Linked DNA regions of Drosophila melanogaster. The protein of the gene in region 1 interacts with the protein of each later gene in a pairwise test. Each region holds a gene or a part of one and is shown on either strand. Other genes may lie near its edges.

Region 1 (8,863 bases):
CACGGAGCTGGTTTTCGCCTACATCTCCACCGGCACGAAGGGAGGAAGCTTTAAGTGCACCCTGACCACCGTCAAACAGAACTGTAATTGTGGCTGGTCGGCCACGACGCGGATTGCCAATGGCCAACAGGCGGCAGCCAACGAGTTTCCCAGCATGGCGGCCCTCAAGGATGTGACCAAGAACCAGGCGTCCTTCTGTGGCGGAACCATAGGTGCGTTATTACAGAATACAAGTGGAAAGGCTTCAAGTGGATATAAATAAAATAAGTCAAATAACCATTTGCGAACATGAAAAAGTTCAAGTTACGAAAATTTCAAGCTATTGAGTGCAATTCAAGGTATCTGAGTAATAGAATATATCTTATACATAATGAAAATGTCAATTTAATTAGGCTTGATTGGTAATAACATATTTTGAATTATATTATTTCAGTGGCCCATCGTTATATTTTAACTGCTGCCCATTGTATTTACCAAGTTAGCAGGGCCACGAATATTGTGGCTATTGTGGGAACCAATGACCTGGGAAATCGTAAGTTCGCAAAACTCATACAACTAAGAATACATAATAATTTAATGCCCTGTTATTAACCTAATTCTTTCTGATCCCGCTATTAAGCTTCCAGTTCCAGGTACTACCAGCAGTATAATATTCAGCAGATGATACCACATGAGCAGTATGTTAGCGACCCCGACGTAAACAATGATATCGCAGTTTTGATAACCGCCAGCAATATTCAGTGGTCCCGAGGCGTGGGACCCATTTGTCTGCCTCCCGTAGGAACGTAGGTTCCCCATTAAATATCCGTATTGTATTGAAACTAATTCGATTTCCCCTTTAGGAGCACACCATTCACTTACGACCTCGTCGACGTGATTGGCTATGGCACGGTCTTCTTTGCCGGACCCACGTCCACAAGTCTGCAGAAGATCAATCTGAATGTGGTCACCAACCAGGACTGCCAGACGGAGTACAACAATGTGGCCACGATATACACTGGGCAAATGTGCACCTATGACTACTCGGGCACAGGTCGCGACTCCTGCCAGTTTGACTCCGGTGGCCCAGTCATTCTGCGGAAGTCCAGGCAGTTCTTGGTCGGAATCATCAGCTACGGAAAGAGCTGTGCTGAATCGCAGTACCCGATGGGTGTCAATACCAGGATAACGTCGTATATTAGTTGGATACGCCAAAAGATCGGAAACTCCAATTGTGTTGTCAGCTTGTAATGTAAATAAATGGACCGGAAATAAATCTTCACAAAAAGGTTGTTTTTCTATGATTAGTGGTAAAGATTTCTAATCAGCCTTTAAAGGAAAAAGTTTTAATATCAAATAAAATGGTAGATCTTATTGCAATACTCATATTTTTTATTGCGGGTTGTCACTTCGTATGCGAAAGTTCTTTTTTAAGGCATATCTTTAAGTTTAACTTGCATTAAAAAGATATATAAATTGTAATATTTTCTCACCTTGACCTAAAAATCCAATTTAAGGTTCTCAAATATTTGCCCGGTATTTCAAAACAAAGAAATATACTTTTCCTTATCAATTCGAATGGTCTTATATAAGCTGCACCGTATCTTCATCGAGTTCACAGTTGCATCAGCTTCGCAACCATCATGTACGAACTAAAGATTACTGGGTTACTTTCGTTACTATATATTAGTTTGTCTTGTGCCCAACAACAGTGCACCAGATTCTTTGATTTGATCCCAAACCGAACGATTAATATAACCAGTTTTAATTACCCCGGCGCTATACCAAGTGGTTCTAACTGTCGATTTCGCTTGAAGGCACCCAGTAATCATGTTATCTACTTGAGCTGTCGCTTTGAGTTGGTAAGTTCTGTTCTAGAATATAAGCCATAATTAAAATATCACTTTAAAATGAATATCTTGCTTATAAAACATTGATTTCGTTCAAATTAGTTTCCCGACACCTGCGGCTCGGAGTTTCTTTTCATCTCCCGCGATGGCGACCTGCAGTTCCGGGATGGCGAACGGTACTGCCGCATGGGCCAGGTCAACCGGATATCCAACTTCCAGACCATGGCCTTCGCCTACTATTCGAGCAGTCCGCAGACCCAGCAGCGATCCAGACTCAATTGCCAAGCGGTGGCTCGACCGGCGCCCTGCGACTGCGGCTGGTCCTTCCCCAATCGCATAGCCAACGGAGTGGAGGCGGGAAAGCACGAGTTTCCCTCGATGGTGGGCCTCCGGGATCTGAGCTCCAACCTGCCCATCTTCTGCGGCGGCAGCATAGTCAGCGAGCGGTACATCATGACCGCTGCCCACTGTACCGCTCGCCAACCAGTGGCCAGTCGCCTATTGGCGCTGGTCGGGGAGCATGACTTGAGCACGGGTAAGCAATATGCATAGTTTGTTTGAGGACTATTTCTAAAATCCTAATTACTCTCAGGTGCCGAATCAATCTATGCGGCGCAGTATCGCATCCAAAATATCATCAACCATCCTGGTTACATGGAAACAGCATCGGGCAATATAAATGACATAGCCTTGCTCCAGACGGCGACCCCAATTGAATGGTCCCGCGGAGTGGCGCCCATATGTCTTCCCATTAGACAGGCGTAGGTTTAGCTCTCATATCTAAAGTCGTGTAATCGTAAAATTTGATTTTCTCACAGGGAGAACAGCTTCAACTACCAGAACGTGGACATCATGGGTTGGGGAACCCTGGGCTTCGCTGCCTCCAAGTCGAACACTCTGCAAAAGGCCACACTGCTGACCATGGACAATGCCGTCTGCCGGAGTCGCTTCAACTCCAGCATAACTCCCAGCCACCTGTGCACGTACGATGCTGGCGGCAGGGGCCAGGACTCCTGCCAGTACGACTCCGGCGGTCCGGTGATCCTGCGCCAGCGGGAGCGGATGTTCCAGTTGGGCGTGATCAGTTACGGCCGAGCCTGCGGTCAGCCTTTTGGCATCGGTGTCAACACTCGGGTCACTTCGCACCTCAACTGGCTGTGGCGCTATATAGGCGGATCTGTGTGTGTGCGTTAAGGATATGCGTCGGATGAATGCCCAAATGTGTGCACAGAAAGAAACAATATTGACCATAAAATTAATTTTATCATATATTGTTACGAGCATGAGTTGCACAGAGTTTTTACATTTAAAAAATTATCTTATTACTGTAACTTTTGATTAAACAGACTTCTTTGATAATAGATAATCGTATTTGAAGTTGGCAAAAAAAAATCTACTCGGCTAGTGATTATGATCCAGACTACGTATATTTCTTCTTAAAATCACTTAGAATCTCTTAGAATTGTACGCCTTTTCTTTTATTTTGTATGTATATGTGTATAAAAATAAAAAATGCAAAATATGAAAATAATGAAATTTAATGATAAAACTTAGTTGGGTGAACGGCTTTCATACCTTATACCTTACATATGTATATACCTTACTTAAATACCTTACCTAAAGCATTTTATTCGTCATGTACAACTGCTATAGCAGTGGTATATAGTACTCGAAATTTTTTCCTGTGCACACGCATATTTTAGAATATAGTTCCTCAGAGTCATTCCTTGGCCGACCTCCTTGCACTTTCTTCAGGCATTTGTCGGCGTTGTCTTGAGTTTGGCAAAGTGTTGACAAAGGCCTTAATTTGCATTTAAATTAAAAAGCAGTGACATGTTTCTGCCTACATTTAAACAACGAACAAGCTCGGCAGCCCCGCACTTACCAATCATACCCCGCTGGCCATGAAGAACCGCCAGGCGTAGTTCTTTGTGTGCAATAAAGTTTTATCGCATACTCTATCTGAATATGGTTGGCACTATTAGTTCACCGTATTTCCCAGTGTTTAATTAAGGCTACACAATCGACATATGGGAAAGCGAAAAATCTGATTCTAGTATATCAGAGAAAATTAAAATTTAAAATTAATTGGGTCATAACATTGGATTTTCAGGTTTTCAAAAGCGGGAAAGTGTACAGATTTCTCATAGTTATCCAGTGTATTTTCGTATTTATTGTAAAATTGCTTTATTCATAATTGTTGTTGTAATTGTGGACTAACTCAATTCCATGACTCGCAGTTGTTGTTGCTTCCATTTGGAAATTGCGTTAAATTCGTCCCAGGACTTATCGGGCCACCAAAGGACCTCGCACCACTGCAGCTGATGCAAAATTAATAAATGTTCATGTGACGAAGGCAAATTGTGTTTTTGGTCTATGATTTTCATTTTGGCTTTGTTGTTTAATTTGCCCGAAAGACTCAAGTCGCAATCAAATTGAATTCCTTGTGGCTGTAAATAAATTATGATATTTTCTTTAGCAGCACACATGTTTTTTTTTCTTCTGTCCTGTCTATTCAGTGAGAAATCGAAAACTAAATTGGCCGAGAACAGTAAACATTTGTTTTGGTGTCAGTGTTTTACGAAGACTTCAACACACGACTGGTTGTGTATTTCATTTTAGAAATAGTTTTCCCCTAAAGACAACCAAAATTTTCTTGCCCGAGCGCCTTGTTTTTATTAAATTAAAATTTTAGTAGACCCAATTTCGGCCGAAGAATTTGAGTCTTATCATAAATTAGCCGGTTAAATCAGAGAATTTAGGGGAACCAGAAATAACAAAGATGCCAATATTCGTGAAAAACCTGCCATGCATTCGCCACCTGGCCAAGCGGAGTCTAATTGAGGGGCGGCGCTGGATATCGGGCCTAGAGAAAGGTCAAAACAGCGCAGCCCAAAACGTAAATCCCTGCCACAAGGACTGGCCCATGAGAGAGGAGTCTTTTGCGGCAGCCCAGCTGCTCCGCCAGAGGCAGCAGAACCGCCGGTGGAGCAACAACTACTCCGGCCTGGACTCCGCCATGTTCCGACCAGTTGCCAAACCGGATGAGATGGTGCCCCGCCGCAACAATGTGGTGGCCGCCCAGAACGCGGCCAGGAGGCGGAACTTCAAGTCGGCGCAGGTGTCCCAATACCAGCAGAGGCAGGAGGAAGAGCAAAGACTGGACGGCGATCCAGAAGCCAAGGCCGAGGAGCACGACTACGAGTCGGATCTGGAGGTTCGATCGGTACGGGAGACCGTTTTCGGACCGCCGGAGGACAACTCGGAGGAGGAGATGGATCGCGCCCGGGCTGAGCAGGAGCTTCTCCAACGCGTGGCCAGCGCCTCCAAGCAAACGGAACGTTTGCCCGATAGCGCCTCCATTTCCCGAAAGGTCATCTCGCCATACAACTCCTACCGCAGCCATCGCACCCGCTGGGCGGAGTTCCGGCACAACATGATCTTTGGCCGTACGAGTTACTGAGCCAACAGGAGCCTCAACAGAAGGTTCATCCTTATCCGTTGACGTCTCCCTTTCCGGAAGTGTGAAATTTACGGTTGCATTTTTACGCGATTTTCAAGAGCAAATAAAAAGTTTGGTCTTCAAAATTATTTTATATGCTATATATTATTTGAATATGTAAACATCTTCCCGGAAAATCATGTAACAGGCTAGATGAAGCGGCCATGCCCAACTATGGAAGTACAGATAATGGGTATCTAATAGTCGAGGCTCTCGTCTAAAAGATCGGCAAGGACATTCAGACAAGTGAAACCATAGCAATCATTGAATTTTCATTCTTTGAGGAACAATAAATGAATCTCAGTAGTCTTTCCGGCGTACATCCCAATTACTTGGGATTACAAAATTATCCAAATTTGTCATACTTTTGAGCCATGATCAATATTCTTAGGACACTGTCAGGCAGAGGTCTTCAACTCACCAGGAGACTTCATCGACGACCCCAGATCTGCCAGAAGCCCGGAGTCTTTGTCCATCCGGAGCTGCGTCGCACTATTCCCCTCGTTTACTTCAGCAAAGGGGAACTGCCACCTAAACCGAATCAAGAAGTCTCATCCAACCGGCAGTGCGAAATATCTCCTTCGGAGAAGAATCGAAAAAGCACGGAGGCCTTTGATCAGTTTTGTAAAAGACAACGGCAATGCTTTTCCAGCACCTACCAGTGGGCAGAGTTCCGGCGAAAGATGATCTACGGCAGTTACTAGTATGAAGCCACCCAGAAAGGACCAAATCCAGTGAAAGACTCCTTTTTATTCATTAGCCCCTGCATTGTGACTTAAAAAGTGTTTTGTTTGGATCTAATTCGCCAGCGAAGTAATAACAAGAGGCTTTATAAGCCACAATGCACTGCAGTCTGAAATGCATAGTTGAATTCAAGCAATAAAACAGGATAACATAGATAACTGAATTTATTTCTTCTCTTCTTGGTTCGACTAAACAACCTTTAGCTAATAGCTTCTGCAGTTCCGTTTATTATTATAACAAGTATCCTTAACCCTTTTTGCTACTTAGCACGCAGGTTTGCTCTCAAAAACTAGCGACATACTTTGGCATACCTGCGCATCCTTCTGTTCTGAGAAAAGCCAAATACAAACAAGGACTGGGTGGAAAAGTGGCAAAGGAAAGAATGGAGAGAGGCACCAAGTGCACTCAAGTAATATGCTTCATAATTTTTATTGTCAAGCCCTTTTCTTTTGGCTCGGGTGGCACTGGCGCGCACTCGACAACAAAAGCTCAAAAGCGCTTGGGAAAAATGTGAAATAAAAAATGACTATGAAAAGCAAAGGCGGAAAATGAAGTGCACTGGGGGCGTGGAGCTGGTAGTGGTGGTGCTGGTGGCAGAGACAAGAGTGCAACAAAGCAGACCGGGCAGCATAAATTTTATAATATAGAAAAAATCAATGGCCAACGGGGGCACAAAAAATGCAGAGCAGCAAGGATTACGGTCCGGGTCTAGGCACTTTTCATTCAAAGCACTGTCCTACTAGAAGGCACTCGGAAAAAAGAGTTGCAACAATGAACTAATTAACCAACTATACTCACTAAAGAAGGTTATTTTTAATTCATTTCATTAAATTCAAGCAAGTATTTTTCCCAGCATTTCCGTATTTTCATTGGAATCACATGCATTACTATAATTATTTCGTTTGGTGCTTCGCTTTTTGAATTCTGCTCCTCACTTCAAAGCTGCACAATTAACTTGGTCCGCAAATGCTGTGATTTCGCCACTCGCTCCCATTGTTGCCAGTTAATTTTGATGGATTTTTTATTGCCTTGTTGCAAAATTTGCATTTCACTCTGCCGTTCACTGCACTTGGCCGCGTAATTAGGCGCACAACTCGCAGCACGGCTTTGATGTGCCGTCCTGCGAATTGGGCTAAGTAAGGACGAGTGCCGAGGACCTTAATTGTTTAATTATGTTTTGTGCTTTGGTCTCGAGTACGTGCAATGCGATAATTGCTGAAAAGGGAACGCACTCAAATAATGTTACATTATCATTTTTTAGGTTAGCCAAAAGAAAATGAAATGTGTGATAGGTACACTTAGCTGCTTATCGAACAATTAACTGAATATGTTCTAGAAGAGGCTTTAAGAGGAGGTTTCTTTTTAACCCAGTCAGCTTTTCTTTTTAACTAGTCAGCTTTTAGTAACACATAGCCCCGTTTTACTTTTTCTACGTTCCTCCCATTTAACAGGCAAACTAATACAATAGACAAGTCTTAAATTTACATACTCCCTCCTTTCGGCCAATCCTTTAAGCCAAATAAACGCTACACCACAGTACAACTGCATCCAGCTGAAGGCTAACCAATACCTAAGGTATCCGGACCACGAAATTACAGGCAAATCCGACTAGTTTCATCCCCTTTCCAAATGCTGCCAGCCAATGGAAACCAATCGGCCCTATCCGCCTATGTCCGACTGGCGGTCCAGCAAGCCACGTCCCGGATGACTGGAAGATTCGCCTACTCGACGCGCCGAAACCAGTGCGTTGGGGATCTGAAGAAGATCGACGAAGTCCTGTGCCACCAGCGGGATGAACCCAATCCAGAGTACCATCATGCTCCGCGATGCTTTGTTAAGAACTTTCATAAGTACCAGGAGCAGGCGCAGGATCACGGAGAGGTGCAGACGACCCGCTTCCGCAATCCGCGATACCGCTGGGCAGACTTCCGGCGACGAATGGTTTATGGCACCTACGATATCTAGACGGTTTCTCTTGAAGCTCTCTGCAATCAATTTCCATCCGGACATGTCTTGTACGAGTATAGTCCCCCCCCCAGTCTATCCATAACGAAGTATCCCAAACCCACATGCAAACTGTACAATAGTAAGAATTTTGAGGCCAGATAAACGGATCCAACTCGGTCGTCCGCTCAAATTGCAATATAATTCAGCACAGAATAAATCCGTTACCTCTTAAGTTTATTGTGCACTTCGTTTGAACTTAGTAGGACTATGTATGAGTATTGGCCAGATTTTAGATGGTACCTTTAAATTGAAATAAGGCCAAGGCCAAATGTGTCACCCCCCCCCCCCCCTTATTTATTGGAGAACCGTATACCCCTCATATATATCAAAGTATTATTTGATAAAATTAAAAATAAACATTTATATTAAAATACATTATCTTCCATTTAAACGCTATTACCCACACTCACGGCTTCGAATCCGAGTCCAAAGCTACCGGACTTTTATCCATCATGTCCGCAATTGGTTCCGTGTCCGAAAACTGACGATGCGGCCCTCGCACGGTATTGATTAAGAGGGTGCGGTGGGGCTGGAAACTTAGCTCGTCCGTAACTCGTGTCATGTCCTTCCCGTAGTCGGCGTCCATGTGGCGCAAGTTGAGGAAGCTCTTGACCAGCAGGAAGGGCGGCCTTTTTAGATCGGTCCATGAACTCTTACGGTCCTGGAGCTTTACGGGCGCAGGTCTGCGATGGTACGGAAGCCTGTGCTCTGACATTCGTCGCCTCTGCTGTAGCCGCATCTTAGCCTCGAATATCGGGGACCCGATGAGAAGCCGACCGGT
Region 2 (10,795 bases), on another chromosome or scaffold:
CCATCACACATCGTCGCGATCTCGTTTTTTTTTTTTAACACTTTCGTTTGCCTTGGGCGGATCGCGAATATACAATAGCAATTGAGAAACCCCAAAGACAACTCAAGACACTTGTTTAGCAATGAACGTAGAAAGGTAGTGCCAATGAGCAGCAGGGAAATATACATAATGTAAATCAGCTGGATAACCATCCTTACAATGCTACTTATAAAATGTGATGATGTGAAGGAATTTACATGCACCATCTTATGCTCATTTTAATATTTACACTGTTCCAAGTAAAATGTTTCCAAATTAAAGAAATCAATGTAAAGTTCTCGTATAAAACTGATTTAAACTAGAGTTTATAGGACTACGACGAACCCAGTTCGGAACTGGGTGACCCGCAAGCCCACATCCCATGCCTGGCTAAACTCTCGGGTATATAACAACGAAGGTTTCTGCACTTTACAGATGCTGATAATAGAGCCACAGAGCATCTTGTCTCCGTATCCGTTTCTGAGCCCGCTCCAAACTCCGCTCCAGCCTCCGTCTCCGCTTCAGTCTCCGCCTCAACTTTCGTAACCGTCTCAGATCCCAAATGTCGTAGCGCCAGGACCTCGGGCAACGGCGGCTGCTGGCCGTGGCCGAAGTTCCGTACGGTCCTTGGTGCTCAGTTTCGCCGGCTGACCAGGCGCATCAGGTGGGTGCAGCCATCAGCTAGCAGCAGCCCCTTCCAATGCCCCGTTTACCGATCCCCGATTCACCTGCTCTTCTATATACATACGCTATGTCACAGCTCTCAACGAACCAAAAGCTAAACCCAAGCCACCGAGTTCTCCAAATAGCAAACCATCGTGCTACGGTCTTTTCTGGCTGAAAGGCTTTCAATTTCGCCTCACGCATATTTGCAGATTACCCAAGTTTAGGGAGGGGTATTATCTTGCCACAGTCGCCACAACAGCAGTCAACGCAGCAGCAGGAGCAGCCAGAACCTGCAATAGCCACATCGGCAACAGTGGCAGGATTAGCAGTGGCAATGGCAACCGAAGTGGAAATCGAGCCACCACTACCAGCACCACCAGTCACAGTCGCCAAGCGCCCGCAGCTCCCGGCGAAGCCAGCACAGCAGCAGCAACAACAGGCGGCGCGTAGGGCCAGGCCATCGGTGCTGCTTAAGCCGCAGTACGCCTGCTTCCTTCAGCACGACGATGATGCACCCAAATCCCAGCCAACTGCTGCTGGACGACCGCGCAAGGCAGCCTCGTTTTCATTGGGCAATCAACGGCAATCGAAGGAGCAGCAGCAACATCATCATCATTACCAGCCACAGCATCAGCAGAGTAAATATGAACGCAACGATTGCAGTAGGAGTCGGGGCAGTTGCGAGAGTCCAGCTCCAGAACACCAGCAGCGACGTCGTCGGCCTAGTCTGCCGTCGTCGCTGGCTTTGTCCAATGCCAGCTCGGCCCTGCTCCAGGCACGCATTCCAGGCACCACGCTCTACTATGTCTGATGGCCACCCGATATGAAAAGCATTAGACTCCAAACTCCAGATAACCAGATATCCAGATAACCAGATACTCCAACTCCGAACCGATTTGAAACCGCCAGCGAAACGTAGGCATTGCCCAAGCTTTACTATATGTTTACAACTAGGCTAAAGAACACCCATCATCCCTTGGATACCTCTTGGTGACCCCGTTCCGCTCCCAAAAAAAAAAAAAAACAAAAATATATATTGGTTTGATGGCCGCTAAACTGTAAAGTGTAACCCTGTGCATATCCGACTCACTCCAAAACAAATAACTCAATGCGGAAACCAGGAACACCAAACCCGAACACACCAATCACAACACACACAAGAAAACAAACACTGGGGCAACCGGACACTCGAAACACACGTTTAATCGATTCATAGATGCGATTCACGATGCTTCCCGATGTCGATGCACTGCCGCCGTTAATCGTTTATGCGATGCTCTGGATAACAATCAACAGTAATTCGCGAATTAGCGAGCGAAGAATACGCGAAGGATGATGGATTTTAGAACTAACCTAAATGATGGATAATGCTGGTGTCCCCATGTTTCACTAAAACCAAACCATGTTCCTATGACTGCTGCTTGATAATGCCCTGCTCCCCCGTCTGTATTCATTATCCACAACCTTAGGTATAAGATGCTCCATAGTCTTTAGCAACCATTATATGATAGTTTACCTAGTAAATCGTATGCCAATCATCAGATTGAACTGTACTATGCCCACCCAGCCCATGTGGAAGTTAAAGATTATTGTAGAAAACTATTTAGGTCACCTATAAATGTTGGCAACGCCTAAGAATTAAGCTAACTACTCAGCTAGAGATCGCAGAAACCGAAACAATTGCGATAATTGATAACTAAGTGTTCATGGCAAATTTTGGGGTGTAACTAAACGTTTAATAAACGAAAAGTAAAGCAACTAAAGCTGCAGACAAATCAAAGAACCTTTATGTAGCGGCTAATTTCGACATGTGTTCGGTGTAAACCAAACAAAAACGAATCACAGAACACTAGTTAGTGACTATTTTCATTTCAGTTACGTACTTAAGTATATATATTTGTGCACCCGTGTGAGTTGGCGTTAGTTATGTGTTATGTGCTTATGTATGTTTGCTTTGTTTGGCTCAGTTCGGTTTGGTATGCAGTTGTGGGGCATGTATTGAATTGCAATTTGCGATTTGAAATTGTAGCCATGTAGTTACGCTAACCTACCTTCTCGCCCCCGCTGTTTCACGCCACCCAAATGGTTTTTCATTTCAACAACAACCTTTTGTTAAAGTCACCGCTGTCGCTTTGTTTGTTTGCTATTTGTTTACTTCTATTTCTATTTTTTGTTCATACCAATTTCTTTTTGCAGATATTATTTAAATGTAACAGAATACATAAGCAAAGCGTTGAAATAATATCTATTGTATACCAAAACCAAAAATATCTATGATAACAAACAAGCAAAGGCAATTAAACCGATCCGTAAACTGAATAACCGATTAATAACTGCAGCCGCTCAACCCGAACCGCAATAAATAACTATCAAGTAAAGAATAGAACAACTTAACAATGAAAAATGCAATATTCAATATGCGAAATGACAAATGCCTAATGCCAAATGCCAATCCAAATAACCCAATAACCGATTCAAGTGCGAGAACAGAAATGCCACACCTCTAACCCAGTGCACTTGCTCTGTCTGCTCCGCTGGGCAATCAAACTAATCGCCAATTCATATTATTATTAAGGTAACTAACCCAGATTAGAACAGACACTCGAACACACGCACACACCAGCCACCAACACCACTTGGCACATCCTAGTCATATCATCAACTTCCATCGCTCATCTCCACTTCCATTTCTTTATCCACTGGTCATGTTTCGTTTTCATTTGCTTGAAAAGATCCAGGCGAGATCCTCCTTTATCCACAACACCGTCACCTCATCTCGATTATATATACATATAAATATATATATATATGTTCTGAAATATATATTTCCCAACTCGGAGCCACCTTATTTATCATTGTACTAACCCCAAATCCTTGGAAGGATTTAAACCCACTTGAAATAAAGATATACAGTCGATTAATCTCGTTCTACACATAATTGCAGGCTCCACGGCTCTGGGCTTCTACACGCCCATGAAGGGCACGGCGATGGACAACCTATTCCAGCTGGGTGTCACCCGATACGCCCTGCCCGAGAGCAGCAGCAGTGGGAGCAGCAATGGCAGCCACAGTCCAGGCAGCAACGGGAGCAGTCCAGCCGGAGCTGCGGGCAGCCGGTTGATGTTCAACGGGAATGGCAGCATTATGGGCATCGGCGAGGGACTGATCAAGGAGGGCGACTTGGCGGCAACGGAAGCAGGACCTGGAACTGCAGATGGAGCAGGTGCCTCCAAGAAGGGTTCAGCTGTGGACGAGGATGATTACCATCTGACGGCGACGCCGGGCGCCGAAGTTGTGTACAGCGAGGGTACACAGAAAACGGATTTGCTATATTAGGTCGTCCTGCCAGCCAAAAAACCGGAGCGTCTAGCTCTTTTTCTACCGGTTTCCACCAAACTCCAAACCTTCCGAGCATAACAACCTACCACATCCTGATCGTTCCCCTAATTGAAAAGCGTGCACTTAGGTGAAATATCAACTTCGGTTAGACGCGAAAACAGTAACGAAGGAAAGAAAAATAAAAACAACAAGGCAACGTAAACCAAGTATGGCAAGAAATCCATAAAGATACGTATATAAATAGATATTATTTGTAAGTTTGTAAGCCTAGAGATCCGATGTGTATGTGTACAACAGCAAGCGTGTGTGTCTGTCTTCTTTATAAATATATATATATGGTTTTTTTTTTTTGATAAATTAATAATTATATTATTGTAATGTATCTACATACGGCACTGAATGAACAACTTTGCTGCTGCAATTGTATTTGTATTTGTATTGTGTATTCCATTTACGGCATTTTGATAGTAAATATACAACAACAACAAATCAACGTATTTCCGACTGCATCCCGAAGGTTACTGAAACCTTAATCCACGAAGTACGCGACGAGCGGTTAGTCCCGCCCGAGTATTAACTTAATGGATTCTAACGATCCGATCTTGTGACCCATCATCATCCCTTTTCGCGACCCTTCCAAAACGAAAATGAAGAACATTCTAAGCTCCGCTTGCCCATTCAGCGGAAGAAAGCAAAGGAAAATGTAACATTTGCCTCATAATTATTATATACATTTAGCGCTTATTGAATATTTTTTACAATTGTATTCCGTAAATAAATATAAAATACATCAACATCTAGTCGCGTGTTTTAAGTTAAAGGAAGTTAAGGCCAAAGCAAAATGTTAGCAACAGTTTTTGTTAAAAGTTAACATATATAATAATGGTAATTTAAATATTCAAATCTATGAAGTGACTTATTTTATAAGTCCACTTATGTTTGTTATATTTAATTGGTATTTAGAAAAGGATTCATTTTAAATTAACACCGTTGAGGGTTCAATTTTGGTAGTGCGTCTTTGCTAACCATGCCGAGTGGGATCAAGTCCTTGCTAAGTTAGGATGTTGTCTTAGCTAACTGTGCCATCCCTGGTCGGGGTGTGTCTTAGCTAACAATTACGTGTCGATAGATATAATGCTATCGATATGACAGAGTGTCGGGAACAATCGATAGCATTACTTCGATATCGGTACTAGTGCCACCTCCAGTTTTGTGATTGTGTCAAAAATACAGGGTTTTATTGTTGCACTAGCAATTTAATCCGAGGAATATAAATTTTGTGTGGAGTTATGTTCGAGACGTCGTTGCCAGCGATTCAAGAGGCGAGCGGTCACACGTGTATGTGTTTCACTGGCGGTGCGGGCGCCAACTCCGCCAAAAAGCGTACTACTTTTAACCTTAGTTGACATTGAAATGTACCCGCTTAGTTGGATGTCCACGATGGTGCGTGTGTGTGCGTATATGTGTGCTATGCGGCGTCTGTGTGCGCGAGTGTGTGTGTGGGATTGCAAAGGAGGATGGGAGAAACGAGAGCAGAGCAAAAACAAAAACAAAAGGAACCTGCTGCACATAGTCGGTGCATGCGAGCGTGCTTATGTGTGTGTGCGTGCGTGCTAGCAAAACAACTGCAAGAAATCAGCAACAGTAGTAGAAGAAGAGAAGCTGTATCACTGATAAGGAGGCTAAACAACAACAAAAACAGCAACGATAATGTGCACCCTTTCGAAATGCAAACAAAACAAAGCGTTGTAGTTGTGTAATCATTCGTTGTGAACACACCACACACACACACACACACAACACTTGTTTAATAATACATTTTAATTCTATTATTTTTGATTTAATTTTTGCCTGTTATTCAAATCGATCTGTGTTTTTGCAGTTGGCATTCGTTATTAATTAAATCAGCCGCCAACAGCTGAGCGAGAGAGCAATCGAGAGCGACAGGAGAGGATCCACTTCCAATCGAATCGGGTGGAATCGAATAGCAGGGGCTTGGTAATTAAAAGGAAGACCGAACTGAACTGAACTAAACTGAAACGGAACGAAGCGAAGCGAAGCGCGGCGAGGCGGCAAGAAACGAAAAGAAAAGAACGAAAGTCGGCAGAGTCGGAAAGTCGGCAAGTCTGATTGTCGGCAAAGTCGCAAAGTCGGAGAGTCACAGTCTCAATCGCAGTCGGCGAGAGATTCCACTCGTGTCGCACGTCCGTTCGTTTCCACATTGTCGTTATAAAAATAGCAACGCCTTAAACGATCGCATCAACCTCATCAACAGAACACCACCAGAAATCACCGCCCCCTCCTACGCCTCAATCGCCATCGCCACCGCATCCCATCCCCATCATCTTCATTAGCAGGCAGCCTGACAGAGTAACTAACTGATCTTGATTGCGACCATAATCACCGTCATCATCATGTAATCCTTCACTAACCAATTGATTTCCGCTCGTCCACCAAATAGATTCCAAACTGCCGTTTCGGCAGCCGGCAAGATTTCACGAAATCTAATGGCCAAGGACGAGGAGGATGATCTGCTGCCCGACAAGGATGCGGCCAAGGGCTTCTATGCCAAATACGAGCCCAAGGAGATTCTGGGCAGGTAAGAATCGAACTACACTTGCCGTGATCTCAAACCTCTTATTAAATCCTTTTAAATTCAGTTGAAGTATTATTGATCCTGCACTTAACCATTCAAATACGTTTCTTTCTATTTACTTTGCGTAGTTAATTTTGCAAATTTAAGATCATAGAAACATTGATACTTGTATCCTCAGAAATCACTAGAACGTCCAAATATTGATTGTTTCTGCTTTCCCAACCTCTTACTGCCAAGTCTGCAGTAATGCAGTTTGGGCTAAATGGTGCCAAGTGAGTCAGCCTCATCAAGCTTCCATGGCATGGAGCAATGGCATGGGCTGCTTTTCAAGCGGCGCCTGTCTGCCGGCCTACTCACGCCACAACGAAGATCAGAATTTGCCAAGCAAATAGCAGAGACTAAGCGAAAACAAGGGCTAATTACATATTACAATTCTAGGGATTAGAGATTAGATAAATACCCGATCATGGCAATGTCAAGTGCAGCAGAAGCAGAGCTCTTTATCTACATGCAATGTTTGTCTTACAGGGGCATCAGTTCGACCGTGAGGCGATGTATCGAAAAGGAGACGGGCAAGGAGTTTGCCGCCAAGATCATCGACTTGGGCGCCACCACAGAGTCAGGCGAGACGAATCCATATCACATGCTGGAAGCAACCAGACAAGAAATCTCAATACTGCGCCAGGTCATGGGGCATCCCTACATAAGTTAGTCTCACATAGCACCCACATGTACTTAATTCCACCACTAACCATCTACATTATCGTGCACAGTTGATCTGCAGGATGTGTTCGAGTCAGATGCATTTGTTTTCCTCGTCTTCGAGCTGTGTCCCAAAGGTGAACTCTTCGACTATCTGACCTCTGTGGTGACGCTATCCGAGAAGAAGACGCGCACCATTATGCGACAAATCTTTGAGGGCGTCGAGTACATACACGCGAAGAGCATTGTCCATCGGGATCTTAAGCCCGAGAATATCTTGCTGGACGAGAACCACAACGTTAAGATCACGGATTTTGGCTTCGCCAAGCAGTTGCAAGAGGGCGAGAAACTTACAAGTAATTATAACACAGCATCCTTCTGTATTCGCTAAGCTAAACTATATGTACTTTCCCCCTATTAGATCTGTGCGGAACGCCGGGTTATTTGGCTCCCGAAACGCTCAAGTGCAACATGTTCGAGGGATCCCCCGGCTACTCGCAGGAAGTCGACATGTAAGAGCGAATAAACTAGCCACTTATTATTACACCTTTTTTTGGCTCACTTAAATTATAGAAGCAATTTAAGCACAAAAAGTATCACATTTATTGTAATACGAATTGTCTGCTCAAATTACTAAATTGCTTATGTTAACAGCTAATTTTATTATTAAAAATTTTTGCTTACATAAAAAAAGAAAGGTCTAAACTTTTGTATCGATATTAGACCCGTTTTCCTTTTTTTTTTGTTTTATAGACGCAAATTTTGCTGATACATTTCATTAACTAGTGTTCCTCGTGTCAGGCGATTTGTTTTGATCTTTAGGTGTGCATTTTAATGAATGAGTCAGAAGCAGAAAGGCATAATAATCTGAAATCTGAGTAGTTCCGATACCGACGTCTATATTTCTTCGGTTCAGCAAAACGTAGGGCTTTTTGTATTTTTGAGTTCTTTAACGTTTCCCACTGGTATCTACGTTACTTGGTTTCAGCAGAAATTTTTAATAGGAAAAATTGACACCTTTTACCCATTTCTTTTTCGATTTCTTTTTGTTGTTCGCAGATGGGCCTGTGGCGTGATTATGTTTACGCTGCTCGTCGGTTGTCCACCTTTCTGGCACCGCAAGCAGATGGTCATGCTGCGGAATATCATGGAGGGCAAGTACAGCTTCACCTCGCCGGAGTGGGCTGATATTTCAGGTTGGTCAAATTGATATGCACATGCCAAACGTATGCTTATTTACTTGGTTTCGATTGATTGCAGAGGATCCCAAGGATCTGATACGCAAATGTCTAGTCGTTGATCCTTCGCAACGTATAACCGTCAAGGAAGTATTAAGACATCCATTCTTCAACCAAATGGTAAGTGCCGGAATTGTTGGCAGCCGCCGGGCTCCAATTACCACGACCACCACCACCACCACTACTACAACCGCCTGTACAAGAGGAAAATCAGTCAAATTAGTTCAATTAGTCGCCAAGAATGAGGTCCGCCTACGAGTCGTCTTTTGTGCTCGGGCAGCAGTCTATAGTTTTCGGGTTCCTGTTCTTGTACATAGATACTAGATCTCTAGTTGATGGGTTTAACCTCGGGTGGGTTAATCTTCTACACAACCAATCCACCAAAACAACCAAACACCTGGCCCTGCAAATGTTTCTAAACACAACGTACATCTAAGAACACACACTCTGATGGAAAGAACACCCACCTGTGACTCACAAACCAACCACTCACAACAGCCTATTAACAGCTTCTTCTTACTGTTACCTCCTAAAAATACGATTATGATTTATAATTCGGTTAGGGTAGCAGCCTAACCCCCCGTAGTTTAGTTCAATTGTCAGATTTATAGCCTGACAGGATCAGTCATTAGTTTGGATCCCCCGCCCCCCTTAAAAAGAAAAAGAAAGGAAAACCCTTCGGAACCTCTTGCGTTTTGTTAACTTTTTATTTCTATGATTACTATTTATTATACCAAACATTTTCTTTCTTCTTTTCCTTACATATAAACTATATATCAAATCGAATCCAATTAATTTTAAACGAACCCAAACGAACGATAACGAACACACACTACCATCGATAGCTGTTCGAGCAAAACATTGATGGCCTCAAGCGCAGCCTGTCGACCAAGTCCCGACGAATGAGTCGCATCACTGAGATCGCACTGGTAACGAACCGTTCCCGGACTAACCCAAGCTCTCTCTATCTCTTAATCTCTCTGTGCTGTGTGTCTCCGTGTTCATATATTGATATCGGAGCCGTAATCGTAATCGCTCTAATAACGATTATCCCGATAATCCTGATAATCCCGATAATAAAATCAAGCAATCGGGCCGGCAGACCCAACTCATGACCATATGCAACCCTGCCGGCCCAGCATTCGTGTGTCTGTTTTCCGTTGCATTCTGTTCTGTTTCGTTCTGTGCCGATCTAATATAACCCAGCTAAACTGTACATCATAGTGCATATCAATTGTATACTATACATACTTATTTATTTAAAATCCGTTCAGGTCATCTGTGCCAAGCATAATAACTTTTAACCGGCCGGCAATAGCCAGCGAAAAACGAAACAAAAACGAATACGTACCCGATCTGCTTCGTTTTTGTTTGCATCTGATTTGATTTGCTTGTCGACTGATCGATGCACCACAATGATAACAAAAAAAGAATATATATATATACATATATATAACCCTTCTCTATAATCCCATTCCTTGTTGTACTCGATGTTTTTTTGTCGATTTTGTGTGTTTTTTGTACAAATCAACCGATTGCCTCGATAACTAAAAACGATAACACACGTCTGCAGCTCTGCGCTCGCCATTTGAATCATAATCTGTTAAGTTAATAACTGTGTCTGCATGCCAACCAACCAAAAAAAAAGCAAAACAAAAATCCAGCAGGGTTTCCCTTATCCCAACCTCCAAAGAAAACCCCACAATTCCTATTTTGAGTCACTGCATGCAAGCGTGCATTAACCATTCAGTCAGCGAGAAGAAGATTTGAAGATTTGGCGATAGTAGATAGTAGAATTCACAGAATAGATACAATACCCCATCAAGGTGCATATAAGTATGAAACACGAAGGTATATATTATTGGTAGTCCACTAGGATGTTGTACACTTCCCACAGATCAAATAAGTAGACTGTAAGTTGAAGTCATTTTAGGTATTATATTCATATACGTATAAGAACGTCCTGTGCTTCACCCAACCCAATTTTTAATTTAACCTCCGTGACTGATAAACCAATTTTAATTTCTTCCGGGCCCACTCTGCTGCTGCCTCTGACCCTCCTGCCCACTGCCAATCTCATCCTTCCTCCGTCTCGCCTCGCCTTCGGTTTTTTGTTTATTAATCGCGGTGTCGACGGGATCAGGTGTTAATGGGTGATCGCCGGCATCCGGCCCCGCCCATCGCGCCCGCCCAAACGAACAGCAGGCATCTGCTGCAACCCGAGGCGTCATCGTAT

Evidence for each region.
Region 2: the proteins of CG12126 (region 1) and PhKgamma interact in a two-hybrid assay, tested with the Drosophila melanogaster proteins (one large-scale study listed by BioGRID).

The regions. Positions count from the first base shown.
Region 1 is NT_033778.4:8,260,042-8,268,904, reverse strand, and holds CG12126 (uncharacterized protein), read left to right. Parts: upstream 1-5,626; 5' UTR 5,627-5,705; coding exon 5,706-6,035; 3' UTR 6,036-6,231; downstream 6,232-8,863. Other genes in the region: CG30371 (uncharacterized protein), read left to right, coding at 1-212, 434-532, 620-785, 843-1,230; CG30375 (uncharacterized protein), read left to right, coding at 1,623-1,841, 1,932-2,364, 2,422-2,590, 2,648-3,023; CG30376 (uncharacterized protein), read left to right, coding at 4,612-5,292; CG2291 (uncharacterized protein), read left to right, coding at 7,705-8,040; CG14759 (uncharacterized protein), read right to left, coding at 8,489-8,863.
Region 2 is NC_004354.4:11,689,919-11,700,713, forward strand, and holds the start of PhKgamma (phosphorylase kinase gamma), read left to right. Parts: upstream 1-5,218; 5' UTR 5,219-5,361; exon of another isoform or gene 5,362-5,466; intron 5,467-5,905; 5' UTR 5,906-6,393; intron 6,394-6,484; 5' UTR 6,485-6,530; coding exon 6,531-6,622; intron 6,623-7,147; coding exon 7,148-7,326; intron 7,327-7,392; coding exon 7,393-7,677; intron 7,678-7,742; coding exon 7,743-7,833; intron 7,834-8,380; coding exon 8,381-8,517; intron 8,518-8,581; coding exon 8,582-8,679; intron 8,680-9,404; coding exon of another isoform or gene 9,405-9,488; intron 9,489-10,702; coding exon 10,703-10,795. Other genes in the region: bif (bifocal), read left to right, coding at 894-1,495.